Drosophila melanogaster: one gene and its partners. The protein of the gene in region 1 interacts with the protein of each later gene in a pairwise test. Each region holds a gene or a part of one and is shown in the gene's direction. Other genes may lie near its edges. The genes, in order: tum, scra and stumps.

The links.
Region 2: the proteins of tum (region 1) and scra interact in a two-hybrid assay, tested with the Drosophila melanogaster proteins (2 studies listed by BioGRID).
Region 3: the proteins of tum (region 1) and stumps interact in a two-hybrid assay, tested with the Drosophila melanogaster proteins (one study listed by BioGRID).

What each region holds. Positions count from the first base shown.
Region 1 is NT_033778.4:13,855,133-13,861,245, reverse strand, and holds tum (tumbleweed), read left to right. Parts: upstream 1-2,556; 5' UTR 2,557-2,760; coding exon 2,761-2,839; intron 2,840-2,902; coding exon 2,903-3,836; intron 3,837-3,905; coding exon 3,906-4,693; intron 4,694-4,748; coding exon 4,749-4,825; 3' UTR 4,826-5,096; downstream 5,097-6,113. Other genes in the region: CG16935 (uncharacterized protein), read left to right, coding at 1-815; Uba3 (Ubiquitin-like activating enzyme 3), read right to left, coding at 896-2,248; CG6553 (uncharacterized protein), read left to right, coding at 5,494-6,113.
Region 2 is NT_033778.4:7,587,634-7,596,233, forward strand, and holds scra (scraps), read left to right. Parts: upstream 1-2,485; 5' UTR 2,486-2,810; coding exon 2,811-2,828; intron 2,829-2,934; coding exon 2,935-3,249; intron 3,250-3,312; coding exon 3,313-4,240; intron 4,241-4,304; coding exon 4,305-4,670; intron 4,671-4,728; coding exon 4,729-4,900; coding exon of another isoform or gene 4,901-4,952; exon of another isoform or gene 4,953-5,036; intron 5,037-5,061; coding exon 5,062-5,200; intron 5,201-5,267; coding exon 5,268-5,444; intron 5,445-5,505; coding exon 5,506-5,727; intron 5,728-5,784; coding exon 5,785-6,148; intron 6,149-6,261; coding exon 6,262-6,560; intron 6,561-6,623; coding exon 6,624-7,343; 3' UTR 7,344-7,609; downstream 7,610-8,600. Other genes in the region: CG1360 (uncharacterized protein), read right to left, coding at 871-1,338, 1,634-1,901, 1,962-2,056. UniProt on the Drosophila melanogaster protein: Required for cytokinesis. Essential for the structural integrity of the cleavage furrow and for completion of cleavage furrow ingression and proper formation of the midbody.
Region 3 is NT_033777.3:14,588,966-14,595,012, forward strand, and holds the start of stumps (stumps), read left to right. Parts: upstream 1-2,654; 5' UTR 2,655-3,004; coding exon 3,005-3,044; intron 3,045-3,316; coding exon 3,317-3,555; intron 3,556-3,695; coding exon 3,696-3,877; intron 3,878-4,038; coding exon of another isoform or gene 4,039-4,041; coding exon 4,042-4,250; intron 4,251-6,047.

The sequences.
Region 1 (6,113 bases):
AGTGTGTGGCGGAGGTCATCTGCGTGGGCGACAAAGTCAAAGGCTTTGAGGCAGGACAGCACGTCATTCCCTTGGCCAGTGGCCTGGGCACCTGGACCACCCATGCCGTCTACAAGGAGGATCAACTATTGATCGTGTCCAAGAAGGTTGGCTTGGCGGAGGCCGCCACCTCGACAGTGAATCCCACCACTGCCTACCGAATGCTAAAGGACTTTGTGCAGCTCTGTCCGGGTGACACGGTCATCCAAAACGGCGCCAATAGCGCCGTCGGCCAGGCAGTGCACCAATTGTGCCGAGCCTGGGGCATCAATAGCGTTGGCATTGTACGCGACCGCCCAGAAATTGCCGAATTGAAGCAGATGCTGCAGTGCCTGGGAGCCACCGAGGTCCTAACAGAGGCCGAAATTCGCACCAGTGACATCTTCAAGTCGGGCAAGTTGAAAAAGCCCCGTCTGGCCTTCAACTGTGTGGGCGGAAAAAGCGCCACGGAGGTGTCGCGTCATCTAGACAATGGCGGAGTGCTGGTCACCTACGGCGGAATGTCCCGCGAACCCGTCACAGTGGCCACTGGACCCCTCATTTTCAAGGACATTGCATTTAGAGGCTTCTGGATGACTCGCTGGTCCAAGGAGAACTACAGTTCACCAGAGCGTTCGAAAATGTTCAAGGAGATCTTCGAGCTGATGGAGCAGGGAAAGTTCGTGGCCCCCAACCATGAGATGGTGCCCTTGGCAAAGTTCAAAGACGCGGCGGCCGCTGCCTTGAGCTTCAAGGGATTCACCGGCAAGAAGTACATACTGGATATGAGCATTTAGATGCGTAACTCGAGGCTAAGCCTGCTGTTTATTTACATATACGACTTGTGTATTAAAATTGTTATCTACTGTGATACACTTTAGACCATCTCCACCTCATTGGACTGATACTTCAGCTGCAGAGTCATGGCGGACGGCGAGGTGGCATCGGTGACTGTGAGCTGCTGTCCATCGTGTAGACCCAGTTCGCCCAGGCTCTGAGTAAGGTTCTTTCGGGTGGCCTCTTCAATGCTCTTTACCCCGGACATGTACAAAGTCCGCCGCTTGCCGTCCTTCATCACAGTGGTCAAGGCTGGGCTTTTCAGCTGGAAACGCGGGGAATCACACAATAGCTTTATCACATCCTCCAGCGTGGTGGTGTTGGGATCCTCAATCGGCAACGGCTGCGGTGTATTGCTGCACGCCAAGCAGTTTTCCGACTTCTCGGCCTCGTAGGTGTAGGTATAGATTCCGTCCAGGTCGTTGAAGTTCAGGTAGTTTGCCATGCTGTCATAGCAGCTGGTGGCCAACTTAAAGACCTCCAAAGCACAGGCGGCGGCAATGGCTGCATTGGTACTGGCCACAGCTGGAATGATGTGCTTGACAACGCCCTGGACCAAGCGATAGGTCACTCCGGTGATGTTAAACTCATTGGACCGCTCCAGTGCCCGTTCGTAGATCCAACCAATGTGCTGGGGATCGTCCCCATCGAGGGGCACTCCAAACGGATTCTGTTTCTCCCACTGTATGATCTTTACGTACTCAATGCAATGCTCCGGAAGCCTGGGAGTATTTGCTATGGTGCATAGGGGATAGTTGACCTGCGGCGGGAACAGGTCCAGCGTGCACTCAATGCAGGCCGTGAAACCGGGCAGGATGACGCGTGCGTTCCCCTTGAAGCCCTCGGTGCCGCCATCAATCATGGGCACTATGGAGCTGGTATCTATGGTGCCGTCCTCCTCATATCGCAGCATTGATAGCAGCATGCCATTGATCCAACGCCGGGCGACAATGGAGTCTAGGCCACAGACAACCAGGTGGAACTGCTGATAGAAGGACTCATCGAAGTCCTGGATTTTCTTGAAATGCGGCGTCACCCGGCAAGTAGGCACTCTTGCGTTGATGAAGCGAGCCGCACACTCCGCCTTGGAGGCGCCAATGTCTGTGCGACGGAACAGAAACTGGCGATTCAGGTTGGACAGCTCGATGGTGTCCATGTCGATGACGTGCAGGTTGCCGAAGCCCATCAGAGCCAGATCCTTCAGCAGTTCGCAGCCCAGGCCACCGGCTCCGATGATCAGAACCTGGCACTTGGTCTGCAAGAACTCCAGGTTTTCCGACGAGGCCGCGAAACCGTCCTTGCAGAAGGGACCTTCGCGTTCCAGGATGTTCCGCAGTCCATTGAAACGCTTGCTCTGGAGGATTAAGCCAGGATTGGGTGAGTGGACAGACATTTTTCAAACAAAATCGAGACTGTGATTCGTTTAGCAACACTACTCGGGTCGGAATAAATATTAGTGATGGTAGCTTATGTGAATAAGAATTTATATAAGACATATTGTAAATAAAAAAAAATATTGTAATTATATTATTATTAATATAATCATTTCAAAAGTATTAATAGGATAACATTAAATTATTTTTTATTTAATTCCGAAAGAATTGTTAACTTGAAACAATCTCTATCATCTCTAACACGATCAGATCGATATTTTCTGTTAGCATGACTACCCTACTGTTATTTCGAGCCACCCATTAATGGTCACACTGCGCAGATGGCGTCAATTTGAAAACAACGGAACTTGAAAAAATTCAGCGCGTCTTTTGCAGCGTGCTCCGTTTGCCACTCGTTTTTGGGTAAATACTACTGATTTTCAGTAGATTTCGAAGTTGAATCAAGGAAACCAGTGTGCAGGCAGTCCCTGCGAGTGAAAACCGATTCGTAGAACTACCGAGACAAGCAAAAATGGCGCTCTCCGCATTGGCGTCCTTCGATGATCTGCGACGCTGCATGCAAGTGCTTACCGATGGAACTCCTGAGGAGGGTGAGTAAAACTGAAAACACGCAAGGCAAATGAAGCCCTACATGATGCTTGTATTCCATTTAGAGTTCCTGCGGTTCTTGCGCATGTTCGAGCAGTACCACGAAAAGTGCGCGGGCTACGCGGCCGAGACGGCCAGGATACAAAACGAGCTGGACAAGTCGTTGACCAAAATGGGCGACCTGGAGGGCAAACTCTTTCACGCACGCCGCATCATCGACATGGAGATCAAGGCGCGCCGCCAGGCGGAACACGAACGAGATGCCATGGAGAGCAAGATCATGGCTGTGGCAGATCTGCTGCGACACGAGCGCAATCTGAACAACGAGACCCGCGACAAGCTGGCCTTTCTGCACACACTGCCCTCGTCGCGAAAGCGCAAGTCCCTGAATGCCGTGCGGGAGGACAAGTCCTATGGCGACATCAACTCCACCGGATCGTTGCTGTCGGATTTGTCTATTACACACTCCGAGGACGACTTCCTCGATGTGCGCACATCAAAATCTTGGCGAGAGCATCGTCCTTCGCTGCCCAAGAACCAGATTCCTAGCGTTGGCAACAAGAGATCGCGATTGAGCACTGGACTGAATGGCAGTATGTCCGGGACTACACCAACCACTGGCAAATCGCGGCGCTCTAGCGTCGGAATCGGAGTGGAGCAACACACGGTGGACGTGGGTCAAGGCGCTGAGCGCTTTTGTGCCACCACCAAGGTCACCATACCCCAGGATGGACAGGGCGTGATTCGTGCAGAGTCGACCATTGAGTCGCTGCCTGTAATTGCCGGCAACGAGAGGATCGGCGACGGACTATCCTCGACGCCACGGCGATCGGTGCTTAAAGAGGCCACCGCACCGCCGCTGACGCCGGTAAATGCTATGGCACCTCACGTTGTCGCTGAATCCGGAACGCCACTGCAGCACCGTCCACTGATGAGGAACCACACCTTCAGTCAGAAGACATTCTTGCGTGGCGACAATTGCGTTCAGTGTCAGAAACGGTAAGCTTACTAGAAGTTCTGCTCCAAGTAGGTTTTTTTTATTAATTAAATACTTTTTATACTCTTCAGCATACGGTTTGGAGCCGTTGGGCTGAGATGTCGGGATTGCCCGGTGCGCTGTCACATCGATTGTCGGTATCTGCTCACCGTTAGCTGTGTGCCGCAAACGGGAACACCGACGACGAAGACCATGACTGGCTATGTAACGGACTTTGCACCATCTATTGCACCCATGATCCCGGCACTGATTGTGCACTGCGTAAATGAGATTGAAGCCCGCGGCCTGACCGAGGTTGGCCTCTATCGATTGTCCTCGTCGGAGCGGGAGTACAAGGCCCTCAAGGAGCAGTTCCTGCGAGGCAAGGCCACTCCACATTTGGGCAACACGGATATCTATGTGCTGTGCTGTTGTGTCAAGGATTTCCTGAGGTCCCTAACAGAGCCTCTCATTCCCACCAGCCAATGGAAGGATTTCGCAAACGCAGTCCAAAATCCTGACACCAAAACTGCCCAGGATATGTTGGTTAAGTCGGTGAAGCAGCTACCACAGGCCAATAGGGATACGCTGGCCTTCCTCATACTGCACTTCCAACGAATTGCCCAGTGCCCAGTCGTGCTAATGCCGATCGATAACATCTCGCTCATCTTTGGCCCCACCATTGTGGGCTACTCCACACCAGATCCCGACCAGCATGCGATCTACACGGAAGTTTTCACCCAGAAGCAGGTGATGAAGGCACTTCTTGAGCTGCCCGTTTCGTTCTGGGAGCAATATATCGTTATAGATCCGACAAGAACACCGGCCACAGTTATCAAGCGGGTGCCAAGCAACAAAAATGACTTACTCTCGCTATATGGTGAGTTATTTATGAGCTAATTTTTTTAATTATTCTAATTATCTCTCCTTCACAGCAACTCCCTTCAAAGGAGGCACCATTAAGAAGCGGAAGTTTTACGGCACACCGCCGGCATCTGCGCACAAGAAATAACGAGACTTTCCTTGTTGGAAAGCATTTGACGTGTTACTTAAGTTTACTTCAAGTATTTTGCAAGTTTTTTGTTTCCGGCCAGCCAACCCCGAGCTGTATTTGTACCCAACCCAACCATAAGCTTTTCTTTATAATTTATGCGTTCGATTATAAACTAAAGCACGTTATTATCGTACTAACATAAGTATACTCACCAGAGAAATAAACTAAAATATGCATTTGAAAAGCAATAAGAACAATGAACAAATATATAAATAAACGATAAAAGAATATAACAAGTTTTTATTCAAGTTCAAATATTTTTGAATCTGTTTAGTGAACTTACTTTTTTATATTCTTGATGGCAAATTATTGGAGGCATGTTAGTAACCAAAAGTATATTAAACATTTCCGGATTTGGATTTGGAAACGGGAATGTTTCGCCACAAAACGTGCATCACAACTAATGGCAAACTCGATACAACTTTGGAATATCCCTTTGATAGGATTATCTAAAAACGTGATAAGCTCGGTCATTGAAAATACTGACTGCCGCTCAGAAAACCCCATGACTGATAATTGTGCACAGCTAGAGCCGTATCATCATCAAACTGGTTTGGACAACTCTCGTAATAATACCCTTAACTGCGCCATGGAACCGTCAGTCTGTCGATTGGAACCCATTTAGAATGTTCGGAGCGCATCAGAATCTCTCAATTCAGCTGGTGATTTTTCTCTCCTTAGCCGTCACCATTTGCTTGGGATCCCAAAATGCCACAAGCTGCGGGCATCGCTGTGGAGGAGGCGACTGTATCCAACTGGACCAGCTGTGCGATGGGAGCGCCAACTGCTTGGATGGTTCCGATGAGACGGTCGCCATGTGTGAGAAGGTCTGGTGTCCGGGTTATGCATTTCGCTGCAGCTACGGTGCGTGCATAGCCAGCACAGCGGTTTGCGATGGCGTCCAGGACTGCGTGGATGGTTCGGATGAGCAGGGTTGGCTGTGCCGGGCGCAGATGCAGCAGGCTAACTGCGACAACTGGGAAATGTACTGCTCCTCTGGCCAATGCATGACCTATTCCAAATTGTGTGATGGCATCCGTGACTGCCGAGATGGAGACGATGAGCTGGAGTCCCTTTGCGAGGGCGTTACCATACCAACGACTACAGTCAGTTCAACGACAAGTACAACTACGGAAAGTAGTATCCATAGGATAACTCCCACTGTTCCTGTAACAAGGAAGGCGTCACGACCAAATCCTCTTCAGGAGAACGGGGAGTGCGTGGTTCCCCAACTGCCAAACGTTAT
Region 2 (8,600 bases), 6.3 Mb from region 1:
AACGACTTAAAGGTGCTCAATCTGCCATCAAATACATTGTTGCGCACAATGTACGCTCGATAGTCGAAGTTCTGGCTCCCCTTTCTCAGATATTTAATTACAGAATATTATTGTTTACAACAATATAAACATTGCGAATAATTGTACATATTTGTATTATAATTTCAAGACTCTCTATTACAATTTATGTTTGTATATCACATTTTCTTAATATTAAGTAACTGTCCTTAAAATGGCATTATTTCCCTAAGGTAAACTTTTTTTTCCTCATTCTGCATGTGCATGCATACAAGATGTTCGTGCCGAGTGGCTAGTCTGTGGAACCAGAAATCTTCTAATGTGGCAGGCAGATGTTGTTGCCGCAGCTGCCGAGAAATCCGAGTCTTCGGCACAGAAAGGGGTAAGCAGAGGGCCATGGGTCGAAGCCGAGTCTGGAGCCTTCTCCTGTGCGTGTGCTCTTCACAATCGGCGGCAGATAAAGCGGCCCGTCCAGAGCCGATCGGCTGCCCTTTTTGGGCAGCAGTTTTGAAGGACGCGTTCATGGGATGCTGAGGCAAACAACTCAATTTTAATTAAACGTTGCGCTCCGAGAAATAAATTAAGCATGCTGACCAGGTTGGCTGCGCAATATCTGGACAACCTTGGGTCCCCCCGCCTGGACTTGTCTCCGGCAGCAGTGATAAGTGCATAGCCGTTGCGTGATTCGACCCAGAAGACCGGGCGAGTGGATAACAGGTTCCCACCTCGGCTGGCTTTATCAAGCGGCACAAAGAGTCTGATTCTAGTATTGTGCTAACGCTTAATTATGTGCCACAACAAGTATTTTCATTCTTTGTACTTTAATGCATGGCCGGAGCTGTCTTCTGGCCGCTACTTGAGGAACGCTTGGAGGCGATTCTGCTGCGTTTTGCTGGCGTCTTTAAACGCGTTCGACTTCAGCTGGGCAGCTATTTGCAGCAGTACGTTCTGCTTCTGGGTTTTGGACTGCGTTTTTGGTGCGGTGGGCGCTGGCTGGGCAGGCTTCTTCTTTTTCTTCTTCGATGTCTGACTTGGGTTTTGGGAAGCTATGCCGACTGGTTGGGACGCGTTTTTGGATGGAGCTGGCGATTTCGAAGGCTGCTGCTGTCGCTGAGGCGCTTTTTGCTGCATTTTCAGGCCTGCATTGATATCTTTATTCGGCGCCTGAGACTTCTTCGTTTTGGCCTTCTTTTTGTTTTGGCCCGCTGGCGCAGGTTGTGTGACTACCATTGTCTCCTCCGTGGCTTTTACTTTGGCGCGCTTTCGGCTCTTCTCCAGAGCCAACATTGTCTTGTGATGGCAAACATCGCAGTCCACGGCCTGCAAAATGAATTGGGTTGTGGTTAGAGTGGCAGGAATGGGTCCATATGTACACACACAAAACACTGTATAAAGATCTTTCAGCTTCCTTGGTGTTAATTTAAATTATTATTTGCCCAGAAGCTTGATACATAAATTTATATTGCGCTTATAAGGTACTAAACTATCCATCTATACCATTCATCCATGGAAGCAAAGAGATATTATATTTATATTTATGAAATTAAAGAAATAAAAGTATTTTTTCCCACAATCTAGACATATTCTAGACATTCTATTAGCTCCTGGTTCTCACCATGTTACTGGCCATACGCTTCTTGAGCCACTTGGCCCGTTTCCTGGCCCCGCTGTTCATCTCGCCCTTTGCCATCTTGCCCTTCACGGCTTCCAGCTTGGTGATCAGTCTCCGGTTCTTAGCACTCTGCATCAGTTCTTGTGGCTGGAGGTGGAGCTGGTAGCGGCCACCTGTCCACTGGTTCCCGCAGCGGGAGCACATGCGTGCGGGTCCAAAGCTCTCCTCGGGCAACTGGACATTGTGCCGGGCCAGCTTCCTACAGGTGGTTCTGGGTTGTTTTGGAAACGAAATTTTAGTGGGTGCTTAAGGAATTGACAACGGATCTCACATGTAATAGGATTTGAGGATCCGTTCTGTGTGGGTTTGGTCGGTCAGCTTGGAGGCACAGTTCCACAGCAAATTTACTGTTTTTTGGTCACTCATGGCGGACGCTGACAATTTACTGAAAAAACAAATTCTATATATTTAAGCGTAATTATTTCCAGAAATGTTTTCCTACATTAATTAACGAAACCCCAACAGAAAAGCCAAACTTAAAGAGGTAGCCTAAATAGAGGAAACATGCCAAAATTCTAGCCAAAACATACAGCACTGACGGCACAACGTGTGCAGCTCACCAGAGAAATCAAAGGTGCATTTCAAGCCTAATTCCAGGTTCTTAACTTACCAGCTATGCGTGATAAATATTGAAAGTGATACGTGGTAAATTACGGTTGGATATTCATATTATAACATCAATAAAAACCCTTTTTGATAACGCTTTAAGAAAAATAAACAGCTGTCGGCCGAAATTAAACCGGTAAATATGTGTGATTGGTGAACCGGTTTAACCATTGATGTGCGACAGAGCTGCCACCCTGCCAAATACGACAAAGTGGCAGCCCTTGGCAACTCACCACTGGCATTTTCTCCCCAATTTCGGTATTTCGTCGTGGTCAGTTGAGGGTCCTATGGCATTTGCGCGTCGTTTTGAAATTATTCAACACATCTGAAAAGCCAACCGCCGAAACGAGCAGAAGCGACGCGCAGAATTTCGAATGCAAACGGACGCGCAACCCGCCAGTGAAAAACAAACATCAAATATCGCCAACGTGGAGTGTCGAGCAGTACAGTGAATTCAATAGCATAGTGCGCGCAATCACAACTCGCATTTGCATTTGCAGCTGCAGCAACAACAATGGACCCGTTTACTCAGGTACGAGGCCAATTCGCACACAGCAAAGCCCTTTGTCTGGTGATTGCACTGGTGTTAGTGAAGGCACCCGCGGATTTTCACTGCTATTTCCCATTTTCCCTTGCAGCACATGCTCGAGAAGGCGGAACAGCGCAGTCGCGCCCTTGGCATCAGCAATGCCAGCAAATTTCCGCTCGTCGAGTGCAGCGTTCCAAGCTCCTCCGCCACCTCCGCATCCGGCGGGGATGCTGGGGTCCTGGCACCGAGGAGCCGGTCGCCTGGAGGCCAGAGCGCGGCTAGCGGCGGCGGCAAGGTCGTTACGTTGGGAAAGGCCACGCTGGAGGCGTCGCCGGCGAAGCCGCTGCGTCACTATACGGCGGTAAACAAGGAAAACTTGGATATGGGCATAGAGATAAACATAACCACGGACAAGCCAATTGGGGTAAGTTTTCCCGTTCTTTTCTGGGTTCTTCCCTTTTGCTCATCCTTGCTGCACTACCTTCAGGTGCAAGTTGAGATTCAGGAGCAGGAGGTGACAGATGACGAAGAGCAGGCGGAAGGAGGTGCGCTAAATCCCCTGCTGGAGGCGGAACCAGTAAACCAGCCCCTAGCCAGGCTAAGGGACACTTCCCGCAGCCGACTGCAACGCATGGGTGCCCTGTACTCAAACACGGACGATCTATCCTCCCCAATCCACCGAACCGAGGGGCAGTTCCATGTGACAACGGGTGAGGAAGAGGACTGCGGCAACCGTAGCAGCAGGCAACCAAAACAACGGTTGGGCAAACTGGCCGCCTTGGCGGATACCATCAATCAGTGGGAGGATGACACGTCGCACCACGAAGTGCACAGACTGCTCGAAGCACCTCCACCGAAACCGCATTTGTCCAGTCGAAGGGCCGAGAAGGGTCCAGCTCCACTGCCACCCAAGAAGGATGAAGTCGACGAGGCAAGCAGGACCAAGCAGCTGAAGTGGGATCCCAAGGTATTGAGCTCTCTGGAGGCACAAGGTTTTCAGCGCCGCGAATCATCGACCATTAAACACACATATGATTATGCCAAACAGGAAGAGGCGGCCCCAGCCTCCAAAGTGGAAGATGCGGTATTAACTGCCAAGCCGCCAGTGCCGCAGAAATCAACGACGGTCAGCCAGGTCGCCAAGAACTTTGCATCTTCCGCCCCAGCGCCTAAGCCCGCACCAGCGCCTGCTGTTAGTGTGAAGTCCGGCTTGGTTTCCGGACGGGCGGCTCTCTTTGAAAACAAGGGAACCGGAGGACAGTCGCAAGGCCTACGCAACCAGAAGGATCCTTGTGAGCTGTCGCTGAAGGAGCGGATGAAGCTGTTCGAAACGGGCAACAACAAAGCGATGTTGCCGATGGCGCCAATAGGATCTGCTCCCAGTATTACCCAAATCCGAGCGGAAGAGGTGAAACGTGAGTTTGGCAGCCCTTCTATATTCATAATAGCTACTCATACTCATTTTTTTTTTGTTAACAGAACATTTAGCTGCAATGCATCCGGTGACTGCTGCCGCAGCTACTACCGTGGTTGCAGCAACCAAGCCGAAACAGGAAAACAAGCTGCGTGACAAGGTGGCCGCTTTGGTGGCAAATGCGCAATCAAGTGCAGAGACGCGTATCAAGGACATTGATCGCCAAAGGCAGGAAGACATGCAGATTATTTCTAATCGCTTTAACAAACAAAAGGAGCTCTTTGACAATCAACCATCCGATAGTTCTGTGGCTGCTCAAGCTCGACCTCCCGCGCCAGCTCCCAGCAGAGTAGTGCGGCCCATGCCACCGCCTCCACCACCGCCCATCGCTGCTCTCTCGCCCGGACTGGCCAGCAGCAAGAGGCGATCACGTAAGAAATGACTAAACCCTTTATCTAAGGACTTGTCCTTATACATCCGCAATTTCAGCTGGTGATGCGCCCACCACTGACGAGGATTCGAAGCGAGCCCGCAAATCGCATTCGGATCGTCTGTATCCCGCCCTGTCCGACCTCGACTCCAGCGGTGACAACTGCTGCGCCGCCGAAACTGCCTCCGCTACGGATGACAGCCATCAACAGGACGAGGAGGAAACCGAAAGGTGCGCTGAAAAATGCTATTCCTGCTTGCTATTTCTGCTCTGCATCGAGTAGCATTCCAAGACTGATAGGCCTAAGAGACATAGCTTTAAACCCCATCCCCTAGACAAGACCAACAATAAAATCGCTTTCTTAACTAACCGTTTATCTTTGATTCGTGCAGTTGCATGGATGAGTCCGACGACCAGTCACAGACTGAGGACAGTAGCGCCGGCATGTGCAATGGCAGTCTTGGCCGCGAGATAATGAGCGCAGTGCAGCGCAACGAAGTGGAGATGCAGCAGCAGCAGACGGGCAAGAAGGTAAGTGCAGGTAAAAACTGTCAACACAGCGGGTGGTCACCATTAACACGATTTCACACCTTTCCAGACTGTGCGCTATGCGGACCAGGACATGTATTACGATGACAGCTCTCTGAACTCGTCGCAGGTCTCAGCGGGCATCGATGATTATCTGGATGAAGCACTTGTCGAGGACTACGGCAGCACTCAGGATGACCAGAGCGACAGCGGGGACGAGCAAAATGCCAGTCGGCTGTCCTTGGGCGTGAGTACTTGCTGATTAAGTTTCCTCGTATATCAAAACAATTCTTTAATTACATTTTCAGAGCAAAGGAACGACGGCCTCAAACAGCTTTTCCTTCCGAAAAAATCCTGCCTCTATTTGCACGCCTATCGAAGAGCACCATGAGATGGAGATGGACCTGCAGACGCCACTGCTCAGTGGTGCCCAGCCGGTCAAGTCTGAATTGAGTGTCAACCAGGACAACGACAACCTGGTTACCCTGGTGCACACGGTCAGCTTCTATCGCCGCCAACAGAGCGCTAACGTGAGTTGATTACTTATATATCACAACTAACAAATTCTAAGTACTCGTTGTTTATAGAGCTCCAATTCCACACCGGTTCGCAAGATCTGTCGAGAGCAGCAGGTCATGCGATCAGCCCTAGCAGGCGATTGTCATGCCAAGCACAGACTGGAGTACGACTCTCCTCAGCAGTCTGATTATGTCGCAGCAGCAACTGACATAGCTGATCAGACCGACGAGGACGATGAAGAGATGCAGAATGCGCGGGAAGTAAACGATGCATCGCAGGCACAAGACAAGATCAAAAAGCTGTTGAGCGAGGTGTGCAAGCAGCAGCAGGTGATAGGACAAGCCAGTCAGGCCCTCAACCTTTGTGCTGCCACCGTAGAATTCTCCGGCTCCACAGAGTCCGTGGAGGGAGAGCGATATCTCCTTCTTGCAAGTAAGTGTGATCTTCAGTGTATTCAAGTATAAATTGCCTGTTCGTTGAATTCCAAACCGAATTGGCAATTTGAATGTCCAATTAAGCTGAACATCTCTTTAATATCCTTGCAGCCCATCGACGCCAGGCGTGTTTGGATGAAGTCCAGCGTTTAAGAGTTGAGAACAGTATTCGTCCGGTGGGTGCACCAAAAGAAAAGGGCCTACTGACGGTCAAGGACATAACCATTCCACTGCGACAGGAGTACGTGCGTAAAATGGCCTCGAACAACATTAACGGCCATCATCTTGTGTGCCTCCTGAAGTACAATGAGCACGTGCTGGCCACCAAGACAGTACCCACGATGCCAGGGCTGCTGTCTGTCAAGTTTCCCGATGTCCTGCAACTAAACAATGTATATGCTGACTTCAGGGTAAATATTGCTTTTTGCTTCTTTAGCCAATATTCGATTTTATTGCGAAAACTTCGTCTGCAGATCACGCTAGAAATCTATGGCATGTTGGCCCAACGCGATCAGCTGCCTCACGAGCTGAAATACCACATCAACTTGAACAAGAAGGGTGGCATCAAGACGCCAAAGAAGAAGGGCGGCGAGAATCGACTGGTGATGCCGCCAGTACAAAGTCCGGCGGGACCGCATGTGGTACGGACACCGCAGCTGGTGCAATACGGCTTTGCCATTTTCTCGCTGCGTGAAATTCAACGCACCACATGGACGCTGACCCAGGTGCTGGGCGTCAGTCCACTGGAGGGTGTGGTTCACATGAAAGTCAATTGCGAACTATCCGTAAGCGTGGAGTACAAGGGATTCCTTACCATGTTCGAAGACATCTCCGGTTTCGGGGCATGGCATCGTCGTTGGTGCTATCTGAATGGCTCCGTGATCAACTACTGGAAGTACCCGGATGATGAGAAGCGCAAGACGCCAATGGGTAGTATAGATCTGAATTCCTGCACTTCGCAGAAGGTGACCACGGCACCGCGCGACATTTGCGCCCGTCTCAACACCATGCTGCTGGAGTGCGAACGGCCGGCGCTGGAGACAGACCAAGAGTCCTTGATAATCGTACCCAACGGACGTACCACCACGGTGCGCCATCTGCTCTCAGCCGACACAAAGGAGGAGCGCGAGGAGTGGTGCGCCTACCTTAACAAGGCACTGACACTGCTGCGCGCCTGGGGAACCACCCACTGACCCGCTGACCCATTGCAATTTTGTCAGCAGCACGGACAATGACCACAAACGGGCGGGTTGTTAACAGTTTTCTCTTTTTAAGTTACTCAATTTGCTATTTTAATCGTGTTCGCATTGGTATTAATTTTGTTTTATGTTTCCAATTCAAATTTTTCGTTTCCATCTTGGAGTGGGACACGTTCGTGTTCGTCTATATCGACATAACTTTTTACTTATGTACATTTAATTTAGGATGACTCGCTAAATATATATGTGTAAACCCCCGTAAAAAGAACTAACGCCAATTGTACACTGATTATTTAATATAGTTTATTGAATACTTTTATACACGTAGTACACATTTACATTCACATATGTATATCGTTTTGCAAGAACTCGTGGCTAAGAAGAAATCGCTACGTGGCTTCCGCGTGTTAACTATCTTTTTATCTCTGACCATCCGGAATCTAACAACAAGTGAAAGTTAAAGCTTGCGTGTTATCACGACGCCGGCTGTTCTAGTGCCCATCTCGGCTTCGGCACCAGGTTTTCTGTACTGTGTAGGTGGTTCATGTCAGGTAGTCAGTGTGTCTGCTCCTTGGCCATCTCAATTGACTCTGGGTGGAAGATTGTAACTTCCTTGCGTTTGTCACTTGGCCTAAAGGTCGGCCTAAAGGCTATCTACAAAAGTGGATTACGCATTGCCGCCGGCGGAGTGTTCAGTGTGGGTTCCTCTAGTTCACAACACTATCAAATGTATAGATATATATTTCTCGTATAGGTATATATGTATGTATATATTTTGACTTGAATCTGCTGTTAGTTGTAAATCAACATCCAAAATATTACAGTTTGCCAGATATGCAGGATATACTTGTGCTTTGTACAACAGTAGCAGCGCCCTCGGTGGATCGGGTTTGGAATGCAATTATATATGTATATAAATTATGTACACTCTCTGTTGCAGAAGGCGGAAGGAGGGGGGAACATCAATCGAAGGCGAGAGCAGCGTAGCTACTGTTTGGTAATTCGGCATTCGCTGGATTCGGATACACTGCCTCAAACTGCTTTGGATACTCCGCTTAGCAATCAAACTGTCAACGTTCGCTAGAATATTAGGGCTATAATACTGGGCATATTTCCATATACGTAACATGTCTTGTCTTGACTAGTCTTGTCAGGACTTGTCTTGTCTTGTCTGTACTGTGTGGCTTGCCTGTGTTAGTTGGTGTTGCAGTGCAGTGGCAACGCAAAGATAAAGCTGAATTTCGATGCAAG
Region 3 (6,047 bases), on another chromosome or scaffold:
AATCGGTTTTATTGCCCTGTAATTACTTGTTCAATGTTCTGTTCGATCGAAGAGGAAACTTACAGGGGTTTAAAGTAGTGCATGAAGTGGGTATTATTAAATGAAAACCAAAAGGGTAGAGTAATATCTTTAATAATCCAAACCTCTGTTGGTAAGACCAAAATGCATCTTTGTAGGTAGATGTACAATATATATTCACACCCTATTGAACTTTTCCATAACTGACCCCAGAGAACAACAAAAACACGGGGAATTTATTGAACTCTAGGCGGTGCGTAGTAGTGATTAACCCGTCAACACCGATGAACAATCAGCGAAAGTGCAGCGAATGGCGCCCAATCCCCGTGGCAAGGGAAATGGAAACTCAGCACAAAGCCGGGTTGGGATGCTCCACTCTGTGACTAACTAGACAAAGCCGCGTTGCAGTAGAGCGTCTACAGATTTACGACTCGCCAGTTGAGTCCAGATCCCCCTGGCAGACCCTCCTCGTCCGCGGAACACGTGGAGCGTGCTGGCGAAGACAAGCATTTGACATTTATGTGCAGCAAATGCATTTGCCCAAGTACTCGAGCAAGGCAATCGGCTGCAAGTGCAAGTACCCTAGTGGTTCAAGATCATTTGCATCCAGCAGCAGCCAAACAAATACGTTTGCACTGGGAGAAATATTTAAAATGTTTAAGAAACTCATTACATTTGTTAATATCTTAACTTTTCAGGATATAACATGCTAAGTGTTATATTATATAACATTAAAGTTATTTCTGCCAGTGTAACGTTGCAGAGTCACTTGCTCCGCAGAGAGCCGCCACTCAAAGATCAACCCTCGATGGCAGACTCTCGCCTTTATGGACTACGAAATGTGCAATTTCTGCTCGGGTACCGAGTTTTACGATTTTTCCATAGGTCCCAATATGCCGGGCATCTGTGTGGTAGGGGTTATTTGGTTGTTGGCCCAGTATCGATGGCAGGCCCGATTTTAGACCCAGTCCACTTAGGAATTCCACGGACAGACCACATGGACTCTCTAGCATTTTGCCACTTCAGTTGTTGCTTCAGTTTCAGTTTTTTTTTTCCTAGTTGCACTGGGGAAAAATGTGAAAATGTGTTCCCTTAGCACAATTGTTGCTCTCCCCTGGCTGCAATTTTTAATGTGCCTTTTCCGATGCGCGTTCTTTTTTTTCTGCCTTTGATGCTCTCGAGTTTCCCCTAATGTGGCTGGAATATGTCGCCTGGCCATAGCTTCTATTATGGCCTTCTATTTTCGGCCCAACATTGATGACAATTTTCATATTTGCCATAAAGTCGAAAGGCAAATATTGCGTATCTTCAGGACAATTGAAGAAATGCTCCAAATATGAGTTTACTTTATGCTAATATATTAATATACAGCGTAAGTAATCATCATATTTTTGATGAATTTCTGGCATCTGTATCATCAAACATCCTAAAACTCTTTGTATAATTTTTTTTTTTTGTATTTTTTCCCATGATATTTTGGAAGATTAATTCTCCCACCGCTCTGCGAAGGTGAGTTCTCATGGTCCCTCCCGAAAAACGTCTCATAAATGTTTCCTGACAGTGAACATCATCGAATTGAAGACCAACCCAACCACAGACAACACTCGGCGCACAAACTCAAACTTTGACACTGATAGAACATGGGGAATACTAAACCGGGGGGCTCACCTCAGATGCTACAATATATATGATGATGGTATATGCTATGTGCGCCACATCAAGTTGGCTTATATGCTAGATGGGTCTTCTATTTCTGCTATCGGAACTCATCAAATATGCACGACGAGACCAAGACAAAACGTACGCTCACGGATGGAAAATGGGAAAGGGACAGGAGACAGGGACAGTGGACAGGGGACAGAGGACAGGGAATCATGGATATCATGGAAATCATGGACTCGGAGCGCGCTGGCGATGATAATTTGATCATGCGAAAAGCGCACGCAAAAGAAAAACATGCGCAGGTACAACAACAAAGTCGTTGTAGTCGAGGAAAAGTGAGTTTTCCTGATCGCCGATCGGTTTCTAGGGGTGGGGGAGTACCGAGTGGGTGATGGCAATATGGCAACCATATTTAAACACTGATCCCGTATGCGTGTGTGCGTGCGCGGGCGGGAGCGAGATGGGGTGAGAGTGCGAGGGAGAGATGCAATGTTTTTATGCTGCTGCCGATGTCGCTGCACTGTGAGAAAATAAGAGATGAGAATTGATTGATCTCTCAAAATGATGTACAAATTTATTAGTGAAGACACAGAAACAGACATAAAGAAATCAAATTTACCGATTAAATATTATTATTTTATTTAATTAATGTATCCAGTTCAAAATCTTGTGGTACTTATTTCAAGTAATTTTTTGTATCTGAATTTATTAAGAAAATTATGCCTAACAGTTTCGCTTAGAGAATTCGAAAGAAAATATTAATATGAGAAGGTGGGATTTTTCGGTATATTTATTTTTATCAGTGCACGCTGAGAATGGGAATGGATGAAGAAGTGCGCGTATGGTAAATAAAAACCAAAACACGAGGAGGGATTCTCTGCGTCGGCAGAGACGTCGACAGAGACATCGGCGGTGGCAGAGGAAAATGCAGACGGCGCGGAGTGTTTTGTTCTCGTTGAAGTTTTAGAATTTATTCCGTTTCGGGATGTCAATGCAGACGCACGCACTGCGCGAACTCAAGTGAACTGAAGTGAAATATTAAGTCGAACCATCACGAACTTGCATTGCCGCCTAAATTTGAATTTTGAATTTATTTGCCCCGTTTTTTCAAACTGACAATTTGTTAAGTTGCCATTTGTGGCACTCCCCGTTGTGATTTCCGTTTACGGTTTCTCGAATTCGCGCCCTGTGCGCAACTTTTGGCGCGTGCGCATGCGCAGCCAGTGAAAGTGCAAATGCATCGCAAATCAGAGCTCTGAATTGTGGTAGACTCTGCGAATCGCATATCAACTAAGGAAAAATTCACTGCATAAAGGATCTCAAGATGTTTGTCACTGTGGATAACACAAACACCTTCTTCTCAGGTAAAAAGAGTGAAAGAGTTTCTTAAAGACTTTATAAGTTTCTTTATGCGAAAAGAATTGTAACAAATATCAAAGTTTTAAGTTAGAAAGTATGAGCAAAAGCGAAAGATTATACAAAGATACAGAGATTCATACAGATTAAAAACGTACATATATGATATTAAATAAATGTTATTTATTATACTTTATAAGCACATCCTCAAACTTTGATAAGTTCAAATCAGAAAACTAACTCCATTCCTCATTCATTCTATTGCAATTGAACTCCCCAGACAACCCGTATTACTTTTGCAATGAAACCAAGTCGCCGCGCACCCCGGACTCGCAGTCCTCCAGCCGGGGATTCTCGATCTTCAAGCGGCGCAACTCGAAGGGCAGCAGCCCCCGGCCGCTGGTGATGACCAATCCGGAACAGATGCGACTGATCACATCCGCCAATCTGGATACCACGGCTACCATGGCATTAGGAAGTCCGCGGGGCAGCTTCAATTCCCTCGCCGGCTATCCGCAAGTGAGTAGCGATTTAATAGAGCATATTCCGATCTCCGATTTCGGAATACTGATTCTGATTTATCTGCTGGATCTGCCACTTCCTGTGGAGTCGAGTGAGCCCTTCTAATGTGCCGTCCTCTTCCGTTTTGCGCATTTCAGCACGCGATTGAACTGCAGACGATGAACATGTACCGCCAGCGATCTGCAAATTCGCACTCAGAGTTCCGGGAACGCCTGAATTCTTGCAACGAGACCCACAGCTCCCAGTGTCCCGGAGGAGGAGGTGCATCCGTAGCTGGGGATCACGACGAGGTCTTCAATCCGCTGACATCGCCAACAAGGTGAGCAATCCCCAGAATCGAGCATTTAATGGGGAGGGTGAGGTGATGACAGGATGCGATTGCAGCTGTTGACAGTTTCGAACCGCCCCCTTTTCCGCCCATGCTAATCGTGCGCCCTTTCTTTTCTCCCCCCACCCCCCATCTTTGCGACCAATCCTCAGTAGCAAATCGCATCGACATCACACCCTGCCAAGTGGCGGAACTCGTCGCCATTCCCTGGGAAACTGGGCCCAACATCAGCATCAACAGCAACATCAACAGAACTCTGGAGCAATGGGACTGGGATCTCCGGATGAGGTGCCCAGCATGATGGCGCCTCGACCGCCGCTCCTCTCGCCAAACAAATTCCGCGGCAGTTCCCATCGACGAAGAGGTGAGTTGACGTTCCACGACACTTGCATTTCCCATCTGCTCAGTATGCCACGGGGCAATCGCGAATTCCTATGCTAATCTGGGCTCAATAAGTAGAAGTAATCCATGTAAATGGAAATCGTTTAGCAAAGTTTTCAGATAATAGAAAAGTCGATAGTTGACAGCAAACGTATATGGATTATAGGATATGGCTGTTATGTCCCTAAAGGAATAAATTTTGGCTCACAAATTTTTAATTTTCTTTGAGAGCTATTTTTTAAATATCTGCTTATTGCTGTGTTATTTAATTTACTCGAGTCTAATATACTTTTAGTTATTTTAATATGCCCCACAAGTTCAGCCGACGCAGTGACAAAGACAAAGTGGTTGCAAATTGCATTCCCTGCCCTCGTTTCGCGTTCGCATTTTTGCACTTTGGCGGCTGTCAGGCGTTCACTCCCCTTTGCCTGCTACTCCATTTTCATGCCCCAAAAGTCCTCCCTTCTGGGGTTTTCCCCCCTGTTGACTCCTCCAGTGGCTGCCCAACAACCTTTACCTCGCAGCTTTGCATCACGTTTGCATATTAAGCGCAACTGCCAGCTCTTCGGAATTTGTTTTTTCATTTTTCGCCTGGCAGGCGCCATGGAATTGGGTCCACTACCCAGCCCCTTTCAGTTCGCCCTCACATTTAAACCACGTTAACAACATTGCAATGTTTACGCAAGTGATAATTGTAATAGTATTTTGTCGCCAGAGCGTCGCCAATCTTTGTTTTGGCATTGTTTTTCCCCGGCAGTGGAGTGGAGCTTCTGTTTGCCTTCGATTTTGTGGCGTAATGAGGGGATCGCATATAGCCGATCGAGCGTATATATAGCTGATTGTTGGCAACGCGCCTTCCTGGCTGACTGACATTTCGCGACTGGCCTGACATTGACAGTCCTCCGTGTGATGGATGCCCCTAAAGTGGGCAGTTGCATGCAAGATGGAAAGGCCTCCTGGTTTACTCGTATGTCCAGCAAAAGTCACAGGTTTATGGTTTATGAGTCGCTCAGGACTCCTTTGCACGATCATTGTGTATTCATCATAAGCGTTTTCAAGGTTTCGCTTTCATGACATCTGATGATTTAAGTTGATTTAAGGCACTTCGTGTGACGTTTAAATCCAGCGCGATTTTCGAGTCTCAAAAGAGATGAGAAATAAGTAGTAGATGAGATACTGAGGAGTGTTTCATACATAGAAATTCAGAGCATGTAGATCTGCTTTAGAAGTGCCGCAATTTATTAGAAGTGTGCCATTAAAGTTTTTACTATTATAAAAACAATAGATTCTTTCCCTTATTGTTATTGTTATCAATTATAATAACGGTTGCCCACAGCGCCTTATTCTAAAAATGATCACCCACCATATTCGACACACTTATCGCTATGGTCACTTGCAATCCATTCGAATCTTTCGCCATATGCAGGAAACTAGGCAATTCGCCTCAATCGGCAATTAACCCACAACACCCACGAACAATTCATTTCTAACACCTAAATTTATGGCAAAGTAAAAACAAACCGAACCGAATATCTCTGCCATATTTGCGAGTGTCCCACTGCAGTTGCCAGTTCGATTGGCATAAGTTATACGCATTTCCGCTCTTTCAATAACAATGGCCATTGCATTTTGTTATTATGTTGCTGGCAACGGGGCGGATGGGCAACATGGGCGATATTGGATGTGCGGATGGTGGAGTCAACAAACGAATCGCTTGACGTGGGCGGTGGGTGTGGCCGCATGAGGAGCATAAATTGAAGAACTGCACATCCAATAAGGC